Astyanax mexicanus: one gene and its partners. The protein of the gene in region 1 purifies or fractionates together with the protein of each later gene. This does not show direct contact. Links are inferred from orthologs where the notes say so. Each region holds a gene or a part of one and is shown in the gene's direction. Other genes may lie near its edges. The genes, in order: hnrnpub, hnrnpa3, gtf2f1 and rps29.

Evidence for each region.
Region 2: the proteins of hnrnpub (region 1) and hnrnpa3 fractionate together in Homo sapiens (co-fractionation; 3 studies listed by BioGRID, with this or other methods). This does not show direct contact. The link is inferred for Astyanax mexicanus from reciprocal best matches to the Homo sapiens genes HNRNPU and HNRNPA3.
Region 3: the proteins of hnrnpub (region 1) and gtf2f1 purify together in Homo sapiens (affinity purification with western blotting; 3 studies listed by BioGRID, with this or other methods). This does not show direct contact. The link is inferred for Astyanax mexicanus from reciprocal best matches to the Homo sapiens genes HNRNPU and GTF2F1.
Region 4: the proteins of hnrnpub (region 1) and rps29 fractionate together in Homo sapiens (co-fractionation; 3 studies listed by BioGRID and IntAct, with this or other methods). This does not show direct contact. The link is inferred for Astyanax mexicanus from reciprocal best matches to the Homo sapiens genes HNRNPU and RPS29.

Annotation. Positions count from the first base shown.
Region 1 is NC_064408.1:59,824,961-59,831,786, reverse strand, and holds the start of hnrnpub (heterogeneous nuclear ribonucleoprotein Ub), read left to right. Parts: upstream 1-3,807; 5' UTR 3,808-3,974; coding exon 3,975-4,425; intron 4,426-5,760; coding exon 5,761-5,875; intron 5,876-6,826. UniProt on the Homo sapiens protein: DNA- and RNA-binding protein involved in several cellular processes such as nuclear chromatin organization, telomere-length regulation, transcription, mRNA alternative splicing and stability, Xist-mediated transcriptional silencing and mitotic cell progression.
Region 2 is NC_064418.1:32,177,220-32,184,910, forward strand, and holds the start of hnrnpa3 (heterogeneous nuclear ribonucleoprotein A3), read left to right. Parts: upstream 1-4,688; 5' UTR 4,689-4,790; coding exon 4,791-4,796; intron 4,797-6,219; coding exon 6,220-6,342; intron 6,343-6,434; coding exon 6,435-6,581; intron 6,582-6,756; coding exon 6,757-6,967; intron 6,968-7,055; coding exon 7,056-7,145; intron 7,146-7,676; coding exon 7,677-7,691. UniProt on the Homo sapiens protein: Plays a role in cytoplasmic trafficking of RNA. Binds to the cis-acting response element, A2RE. May be involved in pre-mRNA splicing.
Region 3 is NC_064426.1:8,389,125-8,397,093, reverse strand, and holds the start of gtf2f1 (general transcription factor IIF subunit 1), read left to right. Parts: upstream 1-4,961; 5' UTR 4,962-5,157; intron 5,158-6,494; 5' UTR 6,495-6,548; coding exon 6,549-6,560; intron 6,561-7,969. Other genes in the region: ighd (titin), read left to right, coding at 125-409, 1,770-1,969. UniProt on the Homo sapiens protein: TFIIF is a general transcription initiation factor that binds to RNA polymerase II and helps to recruit it to the initiation complex in collaboration with TFIIB. It promotes transcription elongation.
Region 4 is NC_064408.1:74,140,138-74,147,142, reverse strand, and holds rps29 (40S ribosomal protein S29), read left to right. Parts: upstream 1-4,002; 5' UTR 4,003-4,083; coding exon 4,084-4,145; intron 4,146-6,196; coding exon 6,197-6,296; intron 6,297-6,450; coding exon 6,451-6,459; 3' UTR 6,460-6,562; downstream 6,563-7,005. UniProt on the Homo sapiens protein: Component of the small ribosomal subunit. The ribosome is a large ribonucleoprotein complex responsible for the synthesis of proteins in the cell.

The DNA of each region.
Region 1 (6,826 bases):
GTAACTATGTAATTCAGTAATTTAGCAAAACTGTCAGAATTCCCCATTAAAATAGCAGAATGGTTATGTGGATACTTAGTACTTATTTTTGCACAAACTGCATTACATAAGAGAAAAAAAACTTAATTCAGCTGTGGCAGAAGGAATAACTTAATTCTCATGTTTTAGTCATTGTTTGCAATGGTGTGTACTGTAGCAGTGTAAAACAATTGCATGAAGGCTGGTAAAATGTATTTCTTTTACGTTGGCTTGCATCTTCATCTCACCAAGCCCTGTTTGTTTATAATGAGATATGCTATATTTAGAAGAGACATGATGACTGCTGAAAATATACCAAACAAACTTCCAGAACATTAATTTGGTTTATTTGCAAAATGCATTTCAATGAAAGCAAATAAGATAATTAATTCAGTAACAGTGGAGGGCTTTCAAGCATACACTTTCTGTTTAGCATGCTGCCACAACATATCAATTGGTGGACCTTTTCTTCAGTTTTGCTGCATACCTCTGCTGGGACTGAGCTATAAATCAAAAACTGATTGCTGCATATTCACCTACTGGATTTTTGGTGCAGAATTCTTGATTCAGTAAATTATTAAAAATTAACCCAGGCCCTGAATCATCAAAGCACCCAAAACATTCATGCTACCACTACTACTTATTATGGAATGTTATAATAACTTTGTGGCAGATGTAACAGAGCAATATTTAATGTCATAATAAAATATGTCATAAATTATGTTATTCTCTGAGAAAATAATTGATGTTTTCTACTTTTTATTCTTAAAGGCTCTAACTGTAGTTTTCTGGACCAGAGCATTACAATATATTTGTTCTGTTGATACTGACTTTACTATGAAGAGATTATTAATATTAAGTAGTTATTTTAAACCAGTGAAAATGTACCAAAAAAACAAAACCTGTGCCTGAATGTCAGCTTAAGGCTCCTCTAGCTTCAACTGCATGTTCTACTGTTAAGTGCTAATTGCTCAGTCTTCTCCCTGTTTCACTAAACATGAATACCCTAATGCGATGAGCCATCACAAGCTATTATTACTCCAGGTACTGGGCCTATAAGACAAAAGAGACATGTCTATCGCCTGTTAAAAAGAGCTCTCAATTGTTCTTTAGAAAATGCAATACTTACATTTTAAACTGACCACATGAAGAAACTTGCATGTGTAAATATTTCTGTGCATTAATTAATTATTCTGTTTTATGATGATTAATCTTCTGTATGAACTCAGACATCCACTGTAGCAAAATTTTTTATTTGCAATTTAGCATTGCATATCTCTGGAATCTCTAAATGCCACGCTAATGATATCATAAAATAGTTTGCAAAAATTCTGTAGGAGGTACAACATTTTTTATGTGACAGTGAGAAGACACCAAAAATATTGTGAACAAACTTTGTAAAAAAAAAACAATAGTCAGGTTTCTATTGAAATAGCTCAGATTGTAAATAAAAACACAGAGGAGCTAAACATATTTTTAGGAGGAGTGCTCTGGCCACACAGAGTTTTTCTTGCATTTCAAAATTACATTAAAAATTATTGGGTATTTTTTGAGAGACTCAAAAATAATACTCAAACTGTACAAATAAATAAACTCAAACTAAGCAGCATAGAAAAAATGGATTTACTCTGTTTTAACTTCTGAATCTTTGCACCTTTTTTACTATATATATGTGATTTTATAGTGGACTTGGTGTGTAAGATATCAATTGAGTTGTCTTAAGTAATGAGAAATAGTTTGTATTTCCATGTAATGTGACCAAAATGAGGAGTTTATTAGGATCAGTTCAGTTAATGATTGATAAATCTTACTTTGTGCCTTTTAATCAGAATGATACTGGCACTATAAATATGTCAGAGTAAGGAAATGTGCATGTCCATGTGGAGAAGTTTTGAAACAGTAGTCTGCCATCCCAGGAGTAGACAACCTCATAAAATATATCCAATATCAATGTTCTAAAACATCCAGTAAGTGACAGGAATGATCACCGCTAACAAAGAGCAGTGTTCATTCTCATCATAACTTTACCAATTACCAGAAACGATCCGTTAAAAGGAAAATCATCTGCAATGGCCTAGTCCTGACTTAAATACTGAAATGTTGAGGGAGTACAGAACAGTTCATGTTTAAAGGCCTAAATATGTCACTAAGCTGAAGTAGCTCTGCAAGAATGTGTAGGCCAAAGTTTCTCTAGGGATTCATAAGACCCTAACAACTAGATACAGAAAGCATTTGGTTGCAGTAACTGCTTCAAGTAAGGGGGTGGGGAGTGTAAATTGCTATTGAAAGATAGGGGGCAATCACTTTTTCACACTGGGGGTTGGGTGTTCAGTATCGTTTCTCAATAAATACATAAATGACATTAAATCACATTGTTGTGTTATCCTCCCTTAAAGTACATTTTAAGAATTGTATTTGTTATACTCACACATTACAACATAAAATTAGACTTTGTTCAAATTAAAAAGTTATGACTTGATAAACCATTGTTGCAATAGCTCAACATTTTATAACCAGGGAAAAAATCCTAAAAAAAAAAAAAAAAAAAAAAAAAATTAATCAATGCCTGGGTCTTTAAGACTTTAGATTTTTTTCAAGAGTAATATTAATAATACTAATAACAATACTAATAATATTACTACTAAAGATAATATTTTGGTAGTATGTAGACCATCTTTAAGACACACCTACTACTACTGAATCAGTTTAACTACTGTAAAACCCCTCCAAGAAATAAGGGCTCCGAATTAGGTTAGGGAAACATGGCCCTAAAAATAATGTTACAATAATTCAGAGTGTTTCTGTGATATGTGCTACTACAACAATAAAATTAGCTACCAAAATACTACTGTGGAGAATATTTTGTGCATGCGCATAAACTGCAAACATAAAAATATATAAAAAATAACATTAAAGTTTTACAGTAAATAGCAAAACAAATACAAAATAGGTTGCTTTTAAGACAGACTAAAGCTAGTTTCACAATATGGATTTTGTCATTGTTTTAAAATTAAGACAATATTATTGTGTATGATAAGACATACCCCTACTGCAGATATAATGTTTATTTTGGTGCTGAATGGTTGAGCAAAATGTGTGTGTGTGTGGAGGTTTTGTCTGTTTTAAGCTTCATTTCTATTTTTTTTTATCTGTTCATTCATTAAAGAAGTAAAAAAAAGAATCCTCTGTACTCATAGACCATGTAGACCATCTTTAACACACACCTACTGCTACTGAATCAGCTTAACTACTGTAATCCCCTCCAAGCCCTAAAATAATGCTACAATACTTCTGCAATATGTGATACTGCAACAAATTAAATGTTAAAGTTTTATTTAGTAAAGAAGTTTTAAACATTCATTAGGATTTTTTTTAAAATAACCATGTTATTAATAGAAACAGTGATTTTGAATTAAATAATGATAATGTTACAAAAGAACTAACCAAAATATCAGCTAAAAATACTACAGTGAATAAATTACACAGGTTGAATGTCACACATTGTCCTTTATCGTTCGCTGAGTGGCCCAGTTACACACAGGTTAATGTAAACGTGTCTAAAGTGAGTTATATTTTATATTGTATGTCACGCAGCTGGTTTTGATTTATTACATACTGATTAATGTGTATGATCTATTAGGTGATTTCATGTCTCCTTGATTTTACGCTCTGTGTGTGTGTGTGTGTGTGTGTGTGTGTAATTGTAATTGTACACTCTGAGCTGATGTCACCTTGGGTGTTACCGCTCCTCCCCCGTTTTCCGGGCGGGAGGGGTTTATGAGGGTAGGCTCCGTCCAGAAGCACCGCGGCTTTGGCGCAGCTGAAGTGAATCCCAGCAGCTCTTTCTGAATCGCCTCGTCCTGAAGAAGAACCATCCGAGAGAGCGCGCGTTCCGCGTTACTGTTTTATACTAGTGAATTCTGTGAGTAATCGTGATTTTTTTTAAGGCTGCAGATATGAGTGCGATTAACGTGAAGAAGCTGAAAGTGAACGAGCTGAAGGACGAGCTGAAGAAGCGCCAGCTTTCAGACAAGGGGCTGAAGGCCGAGCTGATGGACCGGCTGCAGGCCGCGCTCGACGCCGAGGCCCAGGCTGGAGGAGAGCAGGACGGCGAGGAGAACGGGGCCGAGGACAACAGCGCCGAGCTCGAACCGGAGCTGATGGGTGAGGAAGGGGGCGAGAGCATGGAGGCCGACGAGGGGGAGAACGGAGGCGGCGCGGATGAGGAGGCCGCAGCGGCCGACTTCGACGAGCTCGGCCAGGACGACGAAATGGCCGAAGACGAGGAGGACGACGGAGACGCCGCGGTCGACATGGACAAGGCGCTGGAAGACGACGACGAGGATGAAGACGAGGCAGATAAGATCGGTGATGAAGACGGTGAGCAAGAGTCCCAGCCAACAGAGGGTGAGTGCATCAGGAGCCGATTCTGAAGCTCGTAGTTTAACCTAGCCAACCAGCTAATTAATGTCCGCCGGCCGGGACTGCCGCTAACCTAGCAACACTCTGCAGCTTTAGCGCCCTGTAGACTGAGCTAGTAGATAGATAGTTACCGGCTTGTTAGATATTGAGAGGAAAAAAAGCAGGTTCGATTTTAATGAATTATTTAGGTAGTTCGTTGTGTAAGGAGTTTGGTTGGTTTATTTGGTATTTTAGTATCAGTATAGTCGTTTTTGGCTCGAATAGTCAGCTCGTCTGTAGCTTTTGTTTCCTCTCAGCGGTCGTGTGCGAACCCCATCTGTCGTTATTGTTTTATGAGCTAGTCAGGCTAGGCTAGTTAGCGTTAGCCCGTTAGCTAGAGCTGTCCGACCGAAACAATAGGTTGCCGGTTTTTGCAGTACTAGAAATTTAATATTTGGCTACAAAACTGTGCACGAATTGTTTTTTCGCGTTTCTACGTCCAACACGGGGATTAATAGCAGGTTATAGGGTCTTTTGTTAGCCTCTCCGATATATTTCGGTTAGAGGGTAACGTTATCCGGCGGGCCGCGCGGGTTAGCTAACTAGGCCCTGGCGCTGCTGCGACGAGCGATCTCCACGAATCCGTATGTAACATAACGTTAATACGATCTTATATAGCTAGCTAGAAAGCTAAAGCTAAACTCAAGGTAATGTGGTGATTTAGTGGCTATTGTTTAATTATTTAACCCGAGCAGGGAATTGTTCGTTTTAATTTGGGTTTTTGTAGCTTAGCATAGTCTGAAGTGGCTTAGCCGGGGCCGTGAAGGAGCTGGCTGTATTAGCAGAGTTAAGCTAACTGCTAATTTGTAATGAAGCAAGAAGGTCAAGAATCGTTTACTGTGAGTTACGTTAACTAGTTAGGTTAGGTTAATGGCTGTGCCGTTTTTGTGGCCGTCGAAGTTGATTTTATCTAGTTTAATGTGTCCCCACACATATTTGATCGTGTTCATTCAGCAGTATGAGTAAAAGGGACTAGCGTAGCTAAATATAAGCTGCTGTTCATCCTCATCACTCACATGTGAAGAAGAGACACGTTAAGATCTCACATTTGGTTCATTCTCCCCGAATGGGCCAGTTAACAGTAGTACACACAGCATGAATGCACATCTTTTTATACATTTTTATATTATTTTAAATACATATTCTGTCTGATCAGAGGTGGTCAACTTGAGTGTAACTGGGGCGGGAGGAGTCCGAGAACTCCTAGTCGTGTGGGACCACCCTTAAAACCAGGGTCCAACACGCACGAGCATTTCATCACTCTTTGTTTTATTTCCAAAGGAGATGCGGACAAAGACAACAATGCTGATCAGAAGAATAAGAAGGGTGTTAAGAGACGCCGGGAGGAACATGGAAGGGGCTACTTTGAATTTATTGAAGAAAGCAAATACAGCCGGTAAGGATGGGAGTAATGGCCTTCGTCATCCCAGAAGTGCCACTTTTAATATGTATTGGCTTTAAGAGCCAATGCTTTACTTGTAGGAAAAACACCCTCACATGTCTCTTTTAATAAAGTGTAAGCCAGTTGAGGGTCATCCTTGGCTCATAAAACCTTACCTTGCAGTGCTTTTGTATCCTTCTGAACAGGCTGCAAACTCAAGACATTGATCAGATGTGTAACCTCTAGTCTCAATCATCATGACTTGTCATTGTTCCTCACACACTGTTTTGGCAGTTGTACGCGCGTATGGCTGTGAAAGCATCCCTTTGGCTCAAAGGGACAACAGGAGAGTAGCAGCTGTCTCATGACGGTGGGGTGGGCAGTGGGCGTTTATGTTCAGACCTGCAGCGTGTCATATAGCCGATCACATGTTTTTGGGGGGCGATTAGGTGTTGTATTCTGATAATGACCCAGTGTGGGAGAAGATGATCGGGAAGGGATGGTCGGGGCATTGTTTCAGCGTTCACTCGTGCCTTTTGTTTGCATGCTGCATTTAGCTTGTCTTCTCTGAATAAATGTTTTCTTGCAGGATTTTTTTTTGCTGTTCAGGAACGTGTGCTGCGGTCTTCCATTTCTTGTTTTTGGTGTTTTTTTTATTTTGTTTGTTTTTTTTTTCATTGTGTGTCTTTGTGTGTGTGTATAAGAGAACACAAGTAAGACTGATTTGTTCTTTAACAGTGGTTTCTCGCCATTTTTTTGGCTGGGTAAGTACTGTTCTACCCTTTCTGCAAGATTTAGCAGTAATTTCTTATTTATATGGAGTGTTGGAGGTAAAAAGGTTTTGCTTTTATTTTAAAAATGTATTACTGTTGTCTCAAGTTAGACAGTATATCAGTGGAGATCTCTGAAGTCCTGGCTTGTCTTGACCTTTCCAGAAGACAGTCTGAGGATATAAATAAACATGGA
Region 2 (7,691 bases), on another chromosome or scaffold:
ACCCAAAAAAGGGCGACTTATAACTCACAGACAGGGATGCGTTGCAGTGGAGTATAAATATTAAGAAAACATAGGCTATTTTAAAATACAGAAATGAAATACCTGCATTTAGCAAATGTTACATTTTAAATATGCCATCCAATTTTCATAAGTTCATAAGTTAATAAGACAGGCAGCAGCGCCTTTTCCAGAGTGTTGTAGTACAGAGACTGTATCATACAAAGAGAGAAAGAATTGAGTTGGAAACATGAAAATAATTATTTATAAACATCAAATCAAATTTATTTGTATAACGCTTTTTACAACTGGTGTTGGCACAAAGCAGCTTTACAGAAACATGATTACAGGACAAAGAATCAGGCAAAAACATTAAACATACAAAATACAGAATACAGAACCCCCAGTGAGCGAGTATTAACAATTTAACATGAATAAACCTGTAAACAAGTAAAGGATGATCACTGTGTGTAATAAATAAAAATGACTCCAGCAGTTTCTCATTAAAATATATTGTGTAAATATTCAGTATACATTATTCTTTTAAAGTATTGTGATGAAACACTTATTTAAAAAGTACAAGTAGTAGCTTTTCACAGTAGTCTGCTCTGTTTGCAGTTCATTTCAGCGATTAGGTTTCTATACTCTCCTGGATTCAGGGGAAATCTAGAATAATTTGCCCAGCATGCAGGGCGATGAGTCCTGAGTTTCAGCATGAGTGTATGAAAGTATTGTGGGCTTGGATGTTACCTAAATTTTGCCAAAAATTACATGTTACCATGAATGAATAACAGCATACTAAAACTTACGGCAGGCTACAATAGTATTACAAAAAAAAAAGATTTTACCCAATTTCAAGTGACATAAAAGTGAAAACCTGAAATTGTTTGGCTTGTACTTTGTGTGGGACTTTTATTTCATATTTTTGTAATAAATAGCATTTTGAAATAAACAAATACATCAGTTTACTGGTTCACCAGTCATGAATTTGGCGTTATTTATGTACTGGGCATTTAACATTGCTATCAAATTAAAAAAGAGAAAAGTTCTTGTAGAATTAGAGTCTTAATTAAGGAAGTGATATCACATACTAAATCTAAAACACTCAAATACTGTGATCAGTGTGAATGGGGTCTCAAGTAAACAGCTTGTAGGCCACCATATGTCTAAAGGAAAGGAGGATTGTAAGCATCCAGCAGGTGGCGCAGTACTCTATTGTAGGCTCCAGTGCAGCAGTCCAGGTGCTACGTGTCTGGAACTCAAGGCCATCAGGTTTATGTTCCCAGGTTTTTGTAAAAAGATCACAGCAAGATTGAAAACCAGTTTTCCTGCATCTTTCAGGAAGTGCTCTGTACACAGCTCTCTCACGGAAGGCTTAAACTTACAAACAACTCACTATTGTGTTTTTATAGTTAAGTGAGAATGAATGAGTATCTGAGTAATAATCAACCCAGAGTGACGCAATGTGCAGTATTGTTTTTTTTTGTGGTAAAACATAGCTTGCATACAAGCACAGACACACACAGGGCTTGTCTCCATTATGTTGGCCTACTGAGTTCTTGACTCCCATTTTAACTTTAACACACAGTTTACAAATATATCCTAATATTATACTGAAACAAATCCAATATAATATGAATTTATCCAACAGCCCCATCTACAAGCTATTGCAAAATCTCTCAGTCCAACTAGGTCATGTGGGAATTATAACTAAGGCTAGTTAAAAAGCCAGATATATTGCCAGTTACTGAGTCCAAAGTTCAGCTTAAGCGCTGTAGCTCCAAAAAAAAAAAAAAAACAGTAAGAACACAATATGATAGTGGTGACATTAAATAAAATAAAATCTCATCAACCAATAGAACAGGTTCTGCCTATTTTTGAGATGAACTTGATAACTAATACATGAAATGAATCAGGTTGAAGAAAAACAGGAAACTGGAAAGATCACGTAAACTACATATTTGCAGTTGGGAAACCACAGGCCAAGAAACAAACATGATAAACTGTAAAAGTTGTCAATTCAGGATTACCTTTTTATATCAACAAGTGTAGGCTTTTCCCAGATAACATGCTCATATTGGGCCTGTATGAGTAGCAAAACTAAGAACCAGAAGGTTTTGTCCACAGGGTTGGTCCCTCATGTGGATGTCACTGATAGGCTTCACCAGGGTCAGTGTTTGGGGTGAAATAAATATTGATATATCGAAGTATTGTAGTATTTTATTTTTCAATACTGTATCGTTTTTCAAAAATGTTTTTATTATTAGTTTACATGTGAATATTAAGGGTAGTCCGTTTTGCTAGATCCAGATCCAGTTGTAATTCAGATTTAATATGAATTTTATACTATAGGAATTTTCCCAAAAATGTATTTAAACCATCACAAAATATAGTCTTGCCTTACAGTATCACAATACATTGCAATATTTTAAATCGTAAACCCTGTATCAAATTCTTGCCAATGCACAGCCCTATTTAATGTAAGACAGGTGACAAAACATGGTCCCCATCTTGGTTCATACACTGCATAAATTATCTAGATAGGGATAGAGGTGGGCAGTAATAATGGTAATGATGGTGTCTGTTAATGAAGCCCATTTGTGTGCAAACCCATTCTGAGCCTACACCTACTAGCCCACATTTCACCCATGTGAGCCCCATATGCTACACTGGTTAGTATAACCTGTAAAGAATTCCTAACTGTTGTTTGACTCACAATAACCTAAACCTGACTGGCTGCTTTAAAACCAGCCAGTCACAAGATTGGAAGAGCTGGTATGTACTCCACTGCTAATAATAGCATCAGTGTTAATTTTTTTTCATTTCCCAGTTTAGTTCAGGTTGAGGATGTCTTTTTTTATCTGTACTCCTTGTTTTCATGTGTAACCCTTCCCCTTGTAACTTTGTCCCCCTAAAAACATTAACTAAAGAATTGGGATATCCCTTTAAACACTGATAGGGATATTTAGCAGTGAAGCGCTAAAGTTCAGCACCCTAGTTGCTTGTTAACTAGCTAGTTAACTAGCAGGGCATTGTCTTCATTATTGTCCATTCCTTAATTCCTCTGTAATGGGGATCTTAAATTATGTTTGTTATGGAGAAAATGGACACAAAACATTGAAACTACACATTAAATTATGGTATTATAGTAGATATTGTAATTTCTACTAAGGAAAACTTAAATTTCTGGGTTTCCTTGGTTGTTTGTGCTGCTATCTTGCCAGTGATTCTAGCCCTCTTTTTTGAGTGTGCGTTTGAAGGGTCATGTAGCCCTAACACTCCCCTACCCTTCCAGCGTAAAAAAATCGGGACACGCTACCCCTAGACATTTGCACAAGCAAAACAGAGGGGTAGGGCTAAGTGGTGGGGCAAAGGGGTGAAATGAGATTGGGCCGTAGCGCACACAGAGGACAAATTAATTTTTGGTTAAAAATTAAGACTTACATAAGGTAATGTGGCTGCCTATAAAATGTGGATTTCACTAAAATTTAAATAAAATATTATTGTTCAATAAGTGTTGTGTTAAAAATATAAAATAGCCTTAATGAAGCAACGTATTAAGGCCAATTTTAGTACTTTTGAAATCTAAAACAAAAAAAAATTAATATATATATATATATATATATATATATATATATATATATATATATATATATATATATATATATAAGTTACAGGATGTTACTCTGTCTGTCTCTTTATTTTTCTCATTTCCCAGTGTCATACGCTCTAAATTACTTATTCACTTTGAGGATACAGTACTGATGCATCTAAAAAAAATGAATATTATTGAAAAGTTATTTTATTTCAGTAATTTAGTTCAAAATATGAATTGCTTACAGGCAAAGAAAACCCAAAAACCAGTGTCTCAGAAGATTGGATTAGATATTATATAAGATAAATTTCTACTTTTGACAGTGTGGGCAGTGTGCCAAGTCCTGCTGGAAAATGAAAATCCACTTCTCCATAAAAGTTGTCAGCAGTGGGAAGCATGAAGTGATGTACGATTTTCTAAGAAAACACTCCAATGACTTTGGACTGATAAAGGATGTTGTTGTATATACATTATTATAATGTGGCATGGAAGAGGAAGGAGGACTCGTTAGACTCATTACAGTACTCAACAGCTCTTTATTTAACAGGCTTGCCACTTACTTATAGCCTTTAACAAGGCTAGGAGAGCGAAACCCAACTGCTCACACAGCATAAACAGCCCTAAGGTCACTAAACCAACTAGGAATCTACCGGATGGTAGATCACCACTCTGCATAACCCCACTTAAAAGGGAGGCCCCACACCTGACATCCACTCACACACAGGCACACAGAGACAGGCACACAGCAGCCACACACACACACACACACACACACACACACAGACGCCACAATATTGTTTGGTACACTTTCAAGAATAAAAGCAATATTCATTATACAACCAGTTGAGAAATAACATATAACGTAATAACCTAACTGAAGGACAAAACACCTCATATCACCAAAATGGCACCTTTGCAAGAAAAAAACCCCAAATAATTTTGTAGCATTTCTGCTGCTTGATTCATCATGAAATTTAGATACTTTTCTGCTTTTAGGAACAGTTACCTAAAAAAACTGAAGAAGGCTGAAAGCTGAGCAAACAAACAAGCTAAAACAGCTAATATTTATTAGTGTTTCAGAGACAGCAGCTGCGCTGGGTGACTGACTGTTCGATCCCCTGGTGGTGGTCTCTGGTGTTACAGCCCCGAAAAGCAGCAGCAGCACTGGTGTGAAAAGGAGGGGTGCAGACGCTGCGACATGGAGGTAATAACCGTTTATTAGCTGTGTATCACTGTGCTTTATTGCATGGCATGTAACTAGAAATATTATAAGAGGTTTAGGTTAAAGACGCAGTACAGTAAAGTACAGGTGGCAGCTTGGGCTCTTGGTTCTGCTGTGCTGGCTGGCTGTCGTGTTTACAGCTAGCTAGCTATGCTAAGCTAGTTACTACCTAGCTACGCTAAGGTTAGCTTGCTAGCTGGGTGGTTCTCGCCAGATTTAGGTAAAGGGAGCTAGGTAGCTAAGGTAACTCTGCACATGAATATTTTTCAGTGGTAATTCAGAAACTGGGGAAGTTGAACCAGCCGAATAGTACATTTCTGCTTGTGGTTTTTGGTTAAATCACGAAACGGAAAGTGAATACTCTCACTCCTGCATAGTTAGTGCCCACAGCTAACACCGGTCCGGCTAGCTCGCTAATCTCCTGCATTTCGGCTTGAATGTCAAGCTGTGATGTTGGCGAGGAAGTAACTGGAAAACGGTAGTCTAAGTCCAGACTGCTCCTCCAGTATGACACAAGAGTCACGAAAACACAGGCTAACAATATGGTGGAGAGAGGAAAACAGCTCTAAAATGGCGTTTGAGGAGAACCCGCTTGGAATATTCCAGACGCGGATGAGGGCAGTGCTGATAAGATAGCCAGCAGGTTCAGCGACCGGTTTCTCCTGTAAAGAACATGGCTTGTGTCGAAATGTAGCGTTTCTCAGTCAGTTCAAAATCATCCATATAAAATTTACCGGAGTCAAATGGCTCAACTGAAACCCTTACCTGTAGCATCTCGGACACGAAGCCCCTGCTCCCAGTGTATCAGCTTAGAAAATTATTTTTCTCTATAAACAAATTGTACCAATGGTTTACAGGGGATGCTCTGGATAATTGGAGGGTTAACTATTTCTATAAAGGAAATAAGGGAGTGGATAATTATTATTTAGAGGAAATAATTTATTAAATGTATTACTTATTTATTATTTAATTGACGGGTTTTATTGGGAAATTAAAAGGTTTTTTTAATAGAAAGAATTCAGCGTTGAAGGAACAGTTTAGCTAGCTATTAAAACGAAGGTAAATACAATTTAATTGACAGACTGGATTGTTAAATTTGGGGAATGGTTATATGTTTATTAATTCAAGTTTATGTAATTCAAGCAGCATATTACTAAATTGAGGGCCTGTTAATTAAATTATTTAAGTTTTATTTAAGTATTATTTAGAATAACTAGCAACAGTACTTCAGGGGATCTGTACAAACAGAACATTTCTAACAAGCCTATGACTGCTGATTAACTACTTTTTTTAAGCTGTAATAGCTAATGGACATTAGTTACAGATGCATTTACATTTCATAGGAACCTGGGAATTTTAATGCTAATTGTAATGTTTCTTAATATTTTTTTCTTGTTGTCAACAGGGTCATGACAGCAAGGAGCCAGAGCAGTTGAGGAAGCTGTTTATTGGCGGTCTCAGCTTTGAAACAACAGAGGACAGCCTGCGTGCTCACTTTGAGCAATGGGGCAAACTCACAGACTGTGTGGTTAGTGAGAACTGCAGTGCTGTTTGGGGCATTTTGTTAGATTTTTTTTTCTTTCAGTGTAAGCTTTAATTGCTAACTACTTCCTTCCACAGGTAATGCGGGACCCAGGGAACAAGCGGTCACGAGGCTTTGGCTTTGTAACTTATTCATGTGTTTCCGAGGTTGATGCAGCAATGGGTGCTCGGCCCCATAAAGTTGATGGACGCATCGTTGAGCCTAAAAGGGCTGTTTCCCGAGAGGTATCTTGATGCACTGTTTTTACTCTCTACAATATTATTAGTAGTTTTTGGATTATTCTTAAGACTAAAGATTGTCATCTATAGTTCACTGATTTCGCTTCCAGAACTCAAACATAATTGCCTTAAAACCTACATAATTTGCAATACCTTTTCTTGATGTTGTTACTGTTTTTAGGACTCGAATAGACCAGGGGCCCACCTGACTGTAAAAAAGATTTTTGTCGGAGGTATAAAAGAAGACACAGAAGAGTATCACATACGAGAATACTTTGAGCATTATGGGAAGATTGAGAGCATTGACATTATGGAGGAGCGGCCAACAGGGAAAAAGAGAGGATTCTGTTTTGTAACGTTTGATGATCATGACACTGTGGATAAAATTGTTGGTAAGAAAATATTCACGAAAAATCTGCCTTGTTGTAGCTGTTGTTTTTAGTACAAGCACTAAAAATTCCCATTTGTGTTTCTCTCTAGCCCAGAAATACCACACCATAAACTCTCATAACTGTGAAGTCAGGAAAGCACTCCCAAAACAGGAAATGCAAGCAGCTTCTAACCAGAGGTGTAAGTACAACCTCATAATAATCATCATATCACAAATCATCAATAGTCAAATAATTTATGTACATTTGTGTGTGAGGCACTTTCTATAATTCTGTTGGGGTGTGTGATATGGCAAAGATAATATAATGTTCAGGGATAGTCTCAAAATGCATACAATTATGTTTATATAATAAGACATAACAAAATATAGTGTAATTGAATGTAATGTACATCACAATACTTGTTTGAATTACTTTTTGTTTTTTAGTCTCTACTAATGCAAAGTAGTATTGATCTTTTTAGCAAAATGTGCAGCTGGATAGTGTTCATTAATTGCATACACTATTCACAACACCAGAAAAACATACTCACTCCTATTTTAAAGTATAATTGTTAAATGCTGTTAAGAATTGTTAGAGATTTGTTTTAGAGAAACGTTTCAGGAAAAAAAGTCAAATTTCCTGTTTATTGCCTTAGTGTAAACAAACAGCAGAAAAGGAAACATGAAAAGGTTAGATTACTTTTCAGCTCCTTTGTTTATTTCCCTTTTAGATCGGGGTGGCGGAG
Region 3 (7,969 bases), on another chromosome or scaffold:
TAAATGACATGGACAAAGCTAACCTTGAATCCATATCCGGCTTGATATCATTTGATTGAACAGGTTTACTGATGTGTTCCAATTACTTCTTTTTTCATTTCTCACTCCCTTGTGTTTCCTCTAGCCTCAGTTATTAACTCTGTCCCAGCAGTGGAGTTAATGCAGGCCCGCGATGAGCTTGTCTGTTTGGTGTATGACTACAGCCCATCTGTCATTAACATTACCTGGCTGCTGGATGGTGTGAAAGTACCGCACAAACACACCACCAGACCTGCCAAAGGGCCTGACGGGAAATTCAGTGTTAAAAGTCAGCTGCATGTCCTGGCTTCCGAATGGGCACCTGGATCTAAATACACCTGTCTGGTTCAACACGTCACTGGCTCTTCTACTCAAAACATTTCCAAAGAAGGTAATTATTTGCATCAGGTAATCGTCCGCTTTAAAAAGTATTCTACCTCCCTGAAACCTCAGATATCAGTATGTGTTTTTGAATCGTACCTCAGGTTGATACACCGACAAATCAAAATAGCTAAATATGGTAAATGAAAAAAGTACAGTACCAGTCAAAAGTCTGGACATGAACTAGATTTACAAAGTAAAAATAAATAGTAAAAAAGGTGTTAGTTCTCCAAAATACCTTACCTAACCTGATCAACTCAGATCTTGATTTGGGATAAGCTGGAGCTTCACAGCATGAAGAAAAAGCAGCAACTACTGTTCAGCACTTGCAGGAACTCCTTCAAAACACTGAGAAAACTATCCAAGTGACCAAGAAAATACCAAGAGTGTGCAGATCTGTGCTTAATGCTAAATGTGCTATTTAGAAAAATTAGAAAAGTAAGAAACATATTCTGGTTTGCTTAACACTTTTTCTTTACAAATTAATTCCTGTTCCTGTTTAGCCTTATTGTCTTCAATATTAAATTACAATGTAAAACATCATACAAAGAAAGAAAACACTTTCAACTGAATGAAAAAATGCATGTTAATGTATATTTAATTTACTTTTATTTATATTGACTTTTAGTCAATTTTTTTAGTCGATCCAAGATATTTCATGTTTTTTTTCCTGGTCACATTACGAAAAATTGGGGTGGAGACAATTTAAGTATAGTAATGAGGGAAAATAAATTATGATGTTATTTCAATCAGGTGAGGTTAACAGGTGATCATGGTAAGTAGTTTTTACAGCTATAAAGTGTAAAAGCAAGTCAGAGTCAAGGTTAATATTTTTGGTCTGGTTAGTTGTGTTTTCCTACTGCAGTTTAGTGACTGCACATTGCACATGGCTTGATGAGCATGCACGTGAAGGGGATTTTATAGATCCATCGTCACACAGTGTAAATGAATGTCTTTTGTGGTCAGGTGAATCAGTACTCCAGATATTTTTTGAAAGAAACAGGTGCTGTGTGCTCTGTACCAAAGTCAAAAAGGAAAATCCAGACTCCTCTCAGCAAAAGCCCATGTCCAAAAGCCAGGTTCTGTCATGATAAAGGGTTTTATTAGTACACTCATGTGATGCAACATTAATGCAGAAACATACATTGAGACAAAATATCTTCAGTGCATTTTTTCAACAAGTCCATGCAAAATGCATGCTGCACGCATTGCAAAGACATGGCAGTGGAAGAAGAGGGTATGGGTACTGGACTGGGATGTGTGGAGAGTTTCAAAATTAAAAGTTCGACCCCAAATTGTTTCATACCTTAAGATGTGTTTGTTGGTTGAATGGAACAAAATGATAAATAATATATTCTTTGTTTTTTCAGAAATTATTGAGCAGAATATATACTATAATGAGAACCTGTCTGATGCCATCATAGAGGACACGGCTGAGGAGACGTGGAACATGGCGTGTGCCTTCATCGTACTCTTCCTCCTCTCTCTGATTTACGGATGCTCAGTGACGCTGGTTAAAGTGAACACTGCGCGTCCAGCACGTCCGTTTCACTCACGGGATTTTAAATAATTAAAGAAACAAAGCCTCACTTATTATTATTATTATTATTACTTTTATTATTACTTACTGTTGCATGCATTAGTTCAGGAGTGGAAAACAAAAATATGATAAAATATTAAATAATTAAATAAAACATGACCTTGCTGCATGATGCTGTGTGCAAATCAAACAACATTGCTTAGCTTATGTTTCTTTCCTAGCCTGTGTTAAATCACTCCACTTTTGCTTAGTATCAATAAAATTGTTCTTCCATTAAACTATCTTAAAACACAAATGTATGGATGTATTGTAATTTTTTATATAATACATATATTTGTATATTTGTAATTACCTGTATTTGTAGAAAAAAGCACAGGTAGGTTGGCACAGGTACAATCAGGAGCGATTCTAGGAACAGAGGTTTAGGGGTGATCAGTACCCAACAAACATGCTGAGCAATTAGGTTCCATCTTTTAACTTTTTTTTTAAACTTATTATTTCACCTGAACCTGCTCTTTACTTTAGAAAATAACCCAATAACCATGGCTGACTGGCTGGCCACACACAAACACACACACACACACACACACACACACACACACAGGACGTATCAGTGGTGAGACATCATATCAAACAACAACAGCATAAAGAGTACTCAGTGCAGAGAAAGTGAATTACCATTTGCCTTTTTTAGGGTGTTTTCATTCCGCAATTTTTGTTTAATGATCTACTTTCTAAGATTGTAATATATTTTTAGCTTATCAGAGACACTGATAAAAACAGCAGAAACTTTCTGCTATCACATTTAGGGGTGCTGGGACTCATTTTAGGGGGGCTTGAGCCCCTCTTAAAAGAACTAGCGACGCCTATGCTTACAACCGAGGTGGGTTTAAAACATGTTATTAGAGGTCTGCACAGGACTGATTTTTAAAACCTGCTCCTTCCCACTCCCACTTTTTTAGTCATGTTACTGCTCACCCTCAAATGTACTTATGTATTTTTTAAAGCAAGCATGAAAGTTGTTTAGCTCGTTTAGGAAACAAATATGAGCAGTTACAGGTGTTGAGTTGTTGTGCTGGTAATCAGTGATGATCTGGTCAGGTTTTCTTTTATCTTTAGTTTTTAGCAGAGCTTGGCCTTTTTAATGCCCTTCCTCAGATTAGACCTGGATATGCTGTAGGCATGTGCATCACCTGTTCTGAAGGTGATGTTACAATCCTTTAGCAGCTGCACCTCCCTATTCATGCATTGATCCAACTTCTGATTTAGGTATGTCTGTTTCTGCATGGTGATTAATATAATCCAATACAGAGGTGGCTAAAGTGTCAATATCAGCCCTCACAAAATAGAAAACACAGGCATAGGGAGGCTGAGGCGAGGACTGACCCATGGTTCTCTAGTTACAGAGACTAAAGGCTATCATGTTTGTGTAAGTTTATTTTGTTGTGGTGGAGGACATTATTTAATAAAGGTACGCTTCTGACTGTTAGGCCAAGACGCCCACGCCCATATCCCCAATGACAATGCGGTATATTACAATACATAAAACAATTATCCTATTTTGGCGAGAACAGAACTTGGGCCCAATTTTAGCGGCCTATAGCGCACTAGTTAATTGTGCTTTGCGCCGCTGGATTTAGGGGCGTGTCCTGCACAGTTTCAAATGAGTGTGTTTTGGGCGTAATGTGAAATAAACCAATCAGTGTTGCAGTATTCATTCCCTTTAAGAGGCAGGTGCATGCTGACTTTTGTTCACTGGCATCTTAAGAGCGCAGCTTTTTTATGTCTTGACGGAGAGGACTGACTGCGCCTTCACACTGTGAAGGTACACAGCTCATTTAAGGGAAAAGCAGTGCTATTTTATTCTTTATTCTGTTTATTGTTTATGTAAAAGCTGGGTTTGCAACAATAAATATCAATCAATCAATCAACCTTTATTTTCACTTGGGAATACATTGAGGGTAACCTTCAGCATTTACAGTATAAAAGGGATTGAAAATATTTAATTATAAATAACAAGGAATCAAATAGTAAAAAAAACATAATAAATAAAATAAATACATATTTTATGCCAATATTTAATGTAGATGAATAAAATATATACGTAAAAATGCGTAAAATGATAAGAATGATAAATGATAAAATGCATAATATTAAACTAAGAACATGGAAATAAAAAAAACACAATAAAACAAAACTTATTTGATAAATAAAGAAATAAAACAAATTCAAATTTTAAAATAATAAAAATGTAAACTCACAAGCTTTCTGATTCAGAAAACCTGACATTAGTTTAAGTTTCAAATTGTGGAAACAGCTCACCAAAACCTCAAAATATCTTTTATATTTGACAATTTTTAATTAACTTTACAGGTCCTTATTCATCTTAAGTTTATTTAATTGAACTGAGTTTTATATTATATTTTATGTGTGTGAGTGAGATAAAGAGAGAGAGAGTGCCTTTAGCACAGTGACTGTGTGTCTGCAGTTTGAAGGAAAAAACAGTAGATGAAAGTAGTAGATGGCTCAATAGGTAGCTTGCTGGATTAGAATTTGTGCTAATTTTGAATTTGTCAGCTAGCCAGCCTAGACAGAATAAGCGAGCATTAGCAACAGAGTTACTAATTACTAACTAATTACACTTAATGCTTTTAACTAACACATGCACATGCATTATTTAGTTGATTAGATCTGTTAAATATTAAAAACGCATTTTTAACACTGTTACACTAGCGTTTTTTTAATGCTTGTCATAAAGAAAATGGCCACAAAATGTTGAAACTACATATTAAACTATGGTAATATAGTAATTATCATATTTTTTAACAAGGAAAATAATCAAGCCCTAGGTGTTACACTAGAAAAGAAGGGGTAGGGGTAAGTGGTAGGGCCATGGGGTGAAATGAGATTGGGCCTAATTGTGCAGGCCGCTGCTCCAGACCACCAGGCGGCGGTGCGAACCCACCGCTCCACGCGCTGCTGTAGCCGGGAGAAAGAGCTGCTGGCCGGTCAGAGCTGTGCTGCAGGTCGGTTCTGTGAGCAGCTCCGTGTCTCTTTCTGTGTTTCTCTCGCGTCGCTTCGTTTCTTTTAACACGATTTTTTGCTTCTGTTTTAGGAGAATTTTGCTGCTGCTGGTGTTGAGGTCAGCCTCGGCTTTGCGGGAACTGAAGGCCGGGATTGTTGAGCTTTTCGCCGGGTAGCGGCTGCTGGAGAGTCCGGTGAGTTTTCAGCGGATTATTAACCTGATGAGTTTTAATAATCCTTAATGTGCTGCTGCGGAGTCTCTTGGTGTATATATATATGTACAGCTTTATTCTTTATTTACATGTCGTTTATCAGTTAAATAAACCGGTACACACATTAAGCTAAATACAGCTCATGTTTGGAATAAGTTTGCTGGGTTAGTGGTTGTGCTGTATTATTTCAGTATTTTATATGCTTTGTTTTTCTACACATTAGTTTGCTAGTTAAGTTAAGCCTCTACAGCATAAACCATAAAAACAACTCCAATGATTGAGTGTTTATTTGTCATTCTGACATTTACATTTTTATTTAATCCTCTATGGCATGAATTATATTTTTGGGAGGAAAAAAAAATCACACCACTGTTTGGGAGATCTTTTCTTTGGGATCTTTTTCAGTCATGATGACTCTAAAAAGGTAATCTACATAATACATAAAACTTAAAAAAATAAGACTATAAAAAGCCTCATTTTATTGGATGTAGATATGTATATTATATATAGATGTGTATATTTAAAAAAAATAAGTAAATAAGATATGGTATTAAACATGGTACATGTAAGTGTATGTAAAAATGACAATATTAGTGAAACAGAATTAAATTATTGACAGAAAGCAAACATGTACAATTAAAAGGGGGCTCAAGTACCCTGTTAGGATGCATACAGGTTTCAGCTTCAGCCCACAAATGTTCACAACTTCCATCGGCCACTCTGGCAAAGACATTTCTGGGAAAGCCTTGCTATGCATGGACGAGCATTATCCTGCTGAAAATGCCTGTTGGAAGCCCTGCCATAAAAGAAAACATGTGATCCCAGGATGGTCTGCACATATTCTTGAACTGTTAGTGTCCTTTGTATCACTACTAGGTTTGATATGAGCAATTACTGTATTTAACATGCTTACCACAAGGCCTCTATTCAAACCTGACATTGTCAGATCCTTAACAGAACCTGGATTCCACACTTAAAATTATATGGTTCAGGTCTAAAGCAGTCCAGGTTTCTCGTCTACACCACCACTACACAGCAAGGTGACTGGGGAAGGGAGATGGACAGCCTGAATGGTGTGAAATTTGTCAAACTGAGCAACCTGCTTTTTTCAAATGACTAAAAACTGAGAAATACAATAGCAGTATCCAAAGAGTTTTACCTTTACAGTGCTGTGGAACAGTATTTACCTCTGAATTTGAGAACATTTCAAGCTGTAAATTACATTTTTAAAACATAAGTATTGAAAATGGGTATTTCATAGGATTAAACAGTGATTCTACAATTTTTAAATTCTAATAAGTCTTTTCTATACTCATCAGTTGGTGACGGACAGCACTCGCTTCTGAGAGAACGACAAGAGGAGATCTGCCGCTATGACTTCACTGGTAATGAGTAATTTATTTATGTGAATGAAATGGTGTTTGATAATGATAAAATAGTTGTAAGCTAGGTACATATTGTTGTCAGAAATGTATATGATACTTTTATCTGGCAGCATATTTGTAAACTTTGTGTTATAACTTATGTCAGGGACCTATGAGTCATTGCAGCTTTGGGCACAGGCTTTTAGTCACCACCACCATAAAAAGATCTAACTCCAGCTTCTTTCAGTTTCAGTGGTGATTCTGTATTTTGTTGAAAAGTGTGTTTTTGATAATAATTTTTGTGGTTGCTCAAATCCTTTTTTACACTGTCTAGCTGTGAGGGGTAGCAGTGGACAAAGTACACACACTATGTATTTAGGTTAAAGTAGATATACCCAGGGGTAGCATATTACTCCAGTAAATGTTAAAGTTTCATCTTTATAGCAGGAGTCACCAACTCTGCCTCTGGTGAGCACTCCTTAAGGTAGAGCTCTGCAATAATTCAATATTTATGTATTGCGATCTGAGATGTTTCAGTAACTATATTTTTCTGATATTTTAATGTACATTACTAACCACACCCATCTCTTATAATCTGGTGCCTCTTATACAGCTAGATAATATCGCCCTGGCTTACCAGAACACTTAGGGTTCCTCAGTGAAGCGTTTACAGGCGATTAGCGGCTATTGATAATGCTGCTGCACCCAGCCTTAGTGGAAATCTAAGCTTACTGTTAATAAACGGAAGCACATTACTCACCCAAATGATCAGTTTCTAAAAATCTATGTAGATAAACATCCAGTGCTAATTTGATTTTTATTTTATAAAGAATTACAGTTTTGTTTATCTAACTTTGCTTGCTTTACATGTCTCTCCACTGGGTGTATTAGAAGGAAAACATGGCAACACCCCATATCCTTACTAGTGTCGCATAATGCGTCATAATTAGGTGTACCTTATGGATGAAAATAGACCAGAAAATTTATGTTTATTTATAGTGCGCCTTATAATCCGGTGCACCTTTTATAGTGTAAAAATACGGTATTTGTCTTTAAAAAAACTTGAAATTGAAACTCAAATTACTATAAGTTTTATGGTTTATGATACAACTTTTGTTTAATAGTTTTCGGTGAAAATCTAAATTTTATTGAATGTTACGAAAACACTTCTAGTCGTTACTGCATACAAGCAATGTTCATGTTTAAATTGTATTTGTGACTTATTCACAAGTTAAAAGTTGCTGTAAACACGGACCCACAAATGAGTTTCCTTTACTATACTTTATTTGTGTATTCTAGAAGTTTCATCATTTATGTTGGAATAGGTACTCCCAACATAGTTAGGAAATTAGCCATATGCTTTGCTTATCTTAAATAAAAAGGTAAAAAAAAAAAACAAGTTTAAAAAAAAAAAAAAAAAGTGCACTGTG
Region 4 (7,005 bases), about 14 Mb from region 1:
TGAGAGAGAGAGAAAGAGAGAGAGAGTGCATACACTTTAGCATAAAAGGTAATATACCTTCTGAACTCAACATTAAGTGTTGCTGTGTTGTATTAAAAAAAAATAAAGCATTGAAGTTTTCAAATTAACTGCATTACTTATTATTATGTATGCCTTTCATTACTTGTGTTCCATATATTTGTCCCCATTCATGATTTATGCTGTATCTTTGTGACTTTTTGGACCTATCATTTGTAGGTTTTTAGTTTACTACATGATTTGAACACAAAAGCAGTCCTTTACACTGTCAAAATTTCTTGATTCTTTTCTAAAATGACCTGAATTAAATTATTTTACCTTGACTTTCATTGAAAGTTAAGAACATTTTCTCCTGTAAAGACGCTGTTTTTAGATACATGTATTTCATTGGATAGTGGCGATATATGTTGTGTGTGTGACATAAATTGTGTACTTGTATTATGTCTGCCCAATAAAAAAGCAAAAAACAAACAAAAAGCATGCACTACAAGATACTTTATCTAAAAAACCCAGAATTAAAAATATTCAAAAATTGATAATATTCAGAAAAACTTCAGATTGCGAAACTATACTTATTCCTTAGTTTTACACCAGCAAACAGTAATGTGTGTTTTACATTTACAATACATTTGAGTTGTGATAATTTTGGGTTAATCTGATCTACCTGCATGACTAACATTACCAAGCTGCTCTGCAAATAAGTCAGAAAGACCAAATAAAAAAAAAATAAAAGTATAAAAATAAAAATATAGGGACAGTATTTAGAAATAAAAATATATGCAAAAATATATTGAACCAAAGTGTGGTAATCAGCAGTGTGTTAAATGTGCAATGCAAAAAATAATGAACTTATCATAGGCTGGTCATCTTGGTCAAGTTGGCTGTGCAAAACTGGCAACTCAAACAAAAGCATAAGAGCTAAGCTGGCAAACCAGCTTTTCCTGCTATTGCCAGCTTCAGCTGGCTAGACTGGTTATTCCAGTAGAAGTATAGCCCAAAGTGTTCAATAAACAATCATTGTGTTACAGTGTACACACTCTAAGAGGCCTTAATTAGCCTCACAACACAACCAATCATAATTTACCTAACATGGAAAAAATGTTTTTGGTAATATGGTCTTCACATTAAAAGTCAAAATCATAGATCACTTACAGTTAACTCCAACCAATAATGCTGATGCATGTTGGTTTATGACTGGAGAATGACTGACACTATCTGTCCAGCTCTGGTAAATGTGTGCTGTTTGGCCTACGTCCTACTGCGCTGCAATGACATTTATTGCAAATTACACTTCACTTCAACCAAAGGTTGTGTAAATGGTGATTGTGTTACATCCACCAGGAATTTAACCTGACACTAAGAACTAATATTGGGTGTTTGATGACAAACACTATAAAAGCATTGATTTAACCCAATAAAAAAGGTCAAATCTTTGTATACTCTGAGAAAAATATGAACTACCCAAGGTGTATTGTTGGGGCTGTATTTGGTTGCGAACTAAACTACATATCCACACTTTAGTCATGTTGTTTAATCAGTAACTACAGCTTAAACTACAGTACACATTACAGCAGCTGGTGCCCAAGTTGACAAAAATTATAACTGAATAAGCATGTGATTTTCGATTTACTAGTTATTCTTTTTTTGGTTTGTTACATAATAAGAACATTATGGCCAAACACTTGGCTTTGAAATCTACAAGTCTTCCAATATACAGTAGCAACAACCATATCAGGTTATTATTTAAACCTGATTGAAGGCTTATGGTCTGAATTAGTGAGAGTGGTTTTATATTAGACTAAAGCTATACAAATAGAATCAGCCTTTGCAGATTTTAAACCCTATTAGACCAAAGGCCTAATGTTTGGGAATACTACTAAAACACTGGTAATAATGTGACATTTATTTTGGGAATACTTCTCCTTGGTTTGCACTATGTAGTTATGTGTTTATGTTCTGTTTTGGACTTTGGAGTGATCTCACCAGACAGTTTCTGTTTGTTTTTGGTTACAGCAGTGAAAATCTGAGATCAATATTGAAATTCTACTAAAGTAAAACTGCAAAACTATATGGCAAAATTGGGCCGGAAAAACACTGTAGAAGAAAAGTAAACATAAAGTCTCACAGAGCTCTTAATTCATCTATAATTGAGTTCACATTTAATGACATAACTGTATTTTAACCTTTTTTAGAATATAAGTATTCACAAATGCATTTAAGCTATTCAGAATCAGTATACAAATGTATGGGTGTTCTTAGCTCTCAGAAGTCAGTGGTGTAATCAGTTTCAATGTGGTGCATAAGTGGCTGTCTATAAAACAATTTAATTAAACATAAAAAGTAATCAGTAATTAATGTTACTGACTAAAATGCCTGCAGTCCTGGTGCACACGTTAAGTTGTGTCTGCAGGAAGAATAGGACAAAATCTAAAACACATAATTGCTTGGTGACCTTGTTGAGAAGGAATGGCAACCACAAAATGAAAAAAGAAGGAATTACAAAATGAGAAATATTTTACTGTCCCACCTCTTTTTTGGAATGTGTAGCAGGCCTGGAATGCAGGAATGGATTTATCAACAAATGAAATGAACTTGAACAGACAAACCATAAAATATTTGTGGATGTCAATTCCTATCAATATAAAATAAAACTTGCTAATTCAAAATCAGCAGTATTACCCAATAGCCAGTAGCCATGTCATATCAGTTTTAATTAATAGTGCTTAAACTCTGCATGTCATCTACTTGAAAATTCTATATTTAAATGTGAATAGTTAACATAGTTAACAAAATTTACTTTTGACTTTACTTCATTAGCCGTTTTTACCTTGGCATGGATGAAAAATGAGAATTCAGAAAAGGGACATTTGGAGGAGCTCAGCATAGCCATTGCTATTCCCCTATTCATCATGCAATCTTGACACAATGTAAAGAACAGCTGCGAGATTCAAATTAGGTCAAAAAAGTGCAAAATGATACAAGGTATTTGTGTAGGAGCAACAATCTATAACCTAATATAGCCTTGTTAAGAGTTTGAGTGTTTTTCCTCTGCAAACAATGTCACATAAGTAGTATTTATACTACATTAAAACATAATACTACTAATAATGCATATAAATGATAAATGCATTCTACAGCACTAAGAAAGTAAATAAAATGTTATTAAAGAAATATAACATGGAAAGATATATGTACATACAAAAGAGATTTAACTATTTATTATCAAAAGAGGGTGTATACAAGTAACAAAAGGATTGTGAGTATTAAGGTTCGAGACATTTTTGAACCAAATAAGAAGTGTATATTAATTTACACATTTACATTACATAAAAAATGCTTAGTTCTCTTTGAATATTTATATTTATGTATATAGATATTTGCTAAATATAACTAAACTAAATAACTTTAAATTTAAACTAATTTTTATGGCTGCGTTCACATTACAAGCCACGTTGCTCAAATCTGATTTTTTTTCTTCAAGGTTCACATTCACAAATGTAAGTGACCTGTATCTGTGTGAAATGTGAATGAATCTGTCTCTGAAACGCTTTACATGCGGACATTGTTACGTGTATAAACTTCGCCTTCTTCACCAACAACAAAAAACTCATATTTGAGAGACGATTTGTAGCTTTATAAAAGGAAAATGGATGTGTTAGCAGCTCAGATGTAGAGCATCCTTTGCTGGAGTGGGGAGTAAACAGCTGGTCTGTAGTACATGCTAAGTTCGAGGAGGTGAAAAAAGGCCTTTTGCTGTTTTTGCAGCTACAGCTGCATAGCTGCACCACAGCTGCACATGGCACATGCATGAAAGCAAAATGACACATTAATTAAGATATGACCGGTTACATCTATGGTTACATCCAGTGTTTATTTTTCTTCATTGAGGTTGAAGATACTCTCCTTTAATTAAATGAAAATGAACCAGTATCTGAAAAACAGGGGGAGCTGTAGGGGCAGACCTCCACAGCTTAGCGTGTGAGGGGACGGCAGAAGAAGAGCCGTTTATTCGCGCATGCGCGCTAATGCTCCTTCCTTTTCGACATCCCGAGCGAGAGAGACAAGATGGGCCACCAGCAGCTCTACTGGAGTCACCCGCGGAAATTCGGCCAGGGATCCCGATCCTGGTCAGTAGGGCGGCCGCTGCGCGTGTTGTGGGTGGTGGGGTTCAGTGCGGTGGGGAATCCGCGCTCCGGGTCCCGGGATGTTTGTTTAGAGCTGAGAAACTCGAGGAGCACATGGAGGAGCGCCGCGCTAACATGGCGGGCTCGGCTAGGGTTAGCCGCCAGGGCTCGGCTAGGGGTTAGCTAGCTGCTAACAGCATCGCTGAGTACTGGATTTATTTAGCAGCGGACATATTCTACATTAGCAGGAGTTCTGTGTCTTAAATCGACTACTTATAAAGAGCATTTTCTGCGCGTTAGAACGACGTTAACTGTTCAGTTCTCACGGGCTCGCTAATGATCCGGGTATCTGAGGCTTTACTATTGCAACGTTATATCTGCTGGATTAACTACTGTTAACCTAGGTAGCCACTTAACATCTCCCGACTAGTGTAGGGCGCTTCCACACCTCCACTGTTCGGATTTGGACTTTTCTGTTTGATCCGAGCCTAAAGATCAGATTTGGGTCCGACCCTAAAAAGTAACCCGCTAAAAAAGTTAAATTAGGGGAACTAGCGCTTAATTAATTGGATTTTTATAACTTTCTATTATTGTAATGTTTATAAGCTTATTTACTCAATCAACAAAATGTCATGTTTTACAATACTTAGGAAACTAAATTTGCTGTGTTCTGTAGATTAAGTTGCGTTAGTTCATCTAGTTTACTAGCAATCCGGGATTGTGGCACTATGCTATTGTCTGATTCCGCGTTTTACCTAGTCCTCCAGTAGAGATGGTCCCGGCCCGGGACTGCTAAGAAAGCTAGTGTTAACCTAGCTAACTAACTCAACATTCATCTCACAACTAGTGTAGGGCGCTTTCACACCGCCACTGTTCGGTTTCGGACTGTTCTGTTTGATCCGAAATAAAGGGCCAGATTTTGTTCCGACCCAACGAGGTGACTAAAATAAACAGTGGTTAAATTAGCTTAACTAGCTAATTAATTAGTTTTTAGAACTTTCCTTTATCCTAACGCTTATTACTCTCAAAATATATGGAACAGTTCCGTTTTACACTAACTAGGGAACCAAACTAGCTGTTGGTAAACACCTAACTTAGCTTGTTCTCTGTAAGTTAAGTGGTTAACTAATTAACTAGCTATCAGGATTGAACCATGGTCCGGTTCGTCTGCAGTGTGAAAACACTCTTCTAGAGAGTTCGGATCATTTTACAGGAAGCAGAGGCAGCCTTTGCACAAACCAGAAGGAGAAAGAACTTGTGTTGTGCCTTATCACGCAGCAGTATGAACACGGACAGAAATAATTTATTTACTCCAACACTAAATTAACCCTTATTTATAATCCTCTCAGTCAAATTCATAAATAACCTTCCAGAAACCAATTATTTTGAAGTGCGAAAAGATGCAGCCCATGTAGTTGATGACAGGATGTAGTAGTTATTTAGTCCACTTACTAAACTGTAGTGAAAAACTAAAACTTAACACTGTTTATACACCATGACAAAGACATTAACCTCATTCTTTATGACTGATAAATTGGATACACTTGCATGAATAATAAACACGTTTTCATCAATAAATGCAACCCGACCAGACTAAGTCAAATTCATGTGCGACAAAAACGAATGAGCAATTGTTACATTTAAAAGAATTCATAATCGAGTTTCTTATTTAAAGTGCATTTGTGAGGTGTTTTTCATTGTTATTGTAAAGCGGTACATATATAGGTTGCATGTTATAGATTATTAAAAGGTAGATAGCATGTTGATTATCTTTATTGAACTAGCTATATAGATGTTGAATGCAGCTGTGTTAAGTAATCACTAATAGAGCATACATTGGGTACATTGCAGTAAACAATGCGAAGTGTAAACACAGTAAGTAAGCTACATGGTTTTGTGCACTAAATGTATAACTTGACAGTTTTACAGTAATACTGTTAAATGCTTCAGTGTTGCTGTGCACCTAAATAAAAATATATACCTCCAGTTGTGGGTGTTAAGTTATGTTGACTTTCTAACTAAACGCTTTCCCCTCCCTTTTTTCTTTTCTACAGCCGTGTATGCTCAAACAGACATGGTCTGATTCGCAAATATGGGCTCAACATGTGCCGTCAGTGCTTCAGACAATATGCAAAGGACATCGGCTTTATAAAGGCAAGTATTCCCTTACTCATTGTTTTGCCCAGGGGTGGGATGCTTTTGTCCTGTTAGTAACATAATACTCCTTTTGTTGGGGAAAAATGAGGAAATGTAAAAGCTATTGTTACTTATGGTTCAGATGTTTTAATAGTTGTTTAATTTATTTCAGATGGATTAAGTGCTTGGATTGCTGAGCACCAGCCATGTGGACAACTCATCCAAAGCCACCAAGATGAAGTTGAATTGGAATTCCCAATAAACACTTTTTTTTCTGGTTAAAACTGTTGTCGTTCTTGGTTTTCATACTTGGGGTCGAGTGTTTTCAAAAATGATTAGTTGACGTTCTTCACACAACATTTGAGGGGCTACACAGTAACAGTCATGTAATGCATTGGGCTACTTTTCTGTTAGGCTGCATATGTAAACATTGAAGTGCTTTAATGAAATCTGCTATAAGAAGTGAACAGCAGTGAATCAATTGTTTAATTTGTGACCTGCTATTTAAGAGTACCAACTAGAATATATTTTCAAGAAAGGGTTGCATGTCTCAAGTTGCTGTCCTAAATTGCTTTTTTTTCATATTTTGACTGTTCAGACTTTCACTAACCAAGTGTTAAATTTGAGGGGGTTAAAGCAATTTGCAAGATTTATGGGTACATCACACTTGAAGCCAAATCTGTCAATTCTAATTGTATAATTAGTTTATTACTTTACTTTGGCCTTC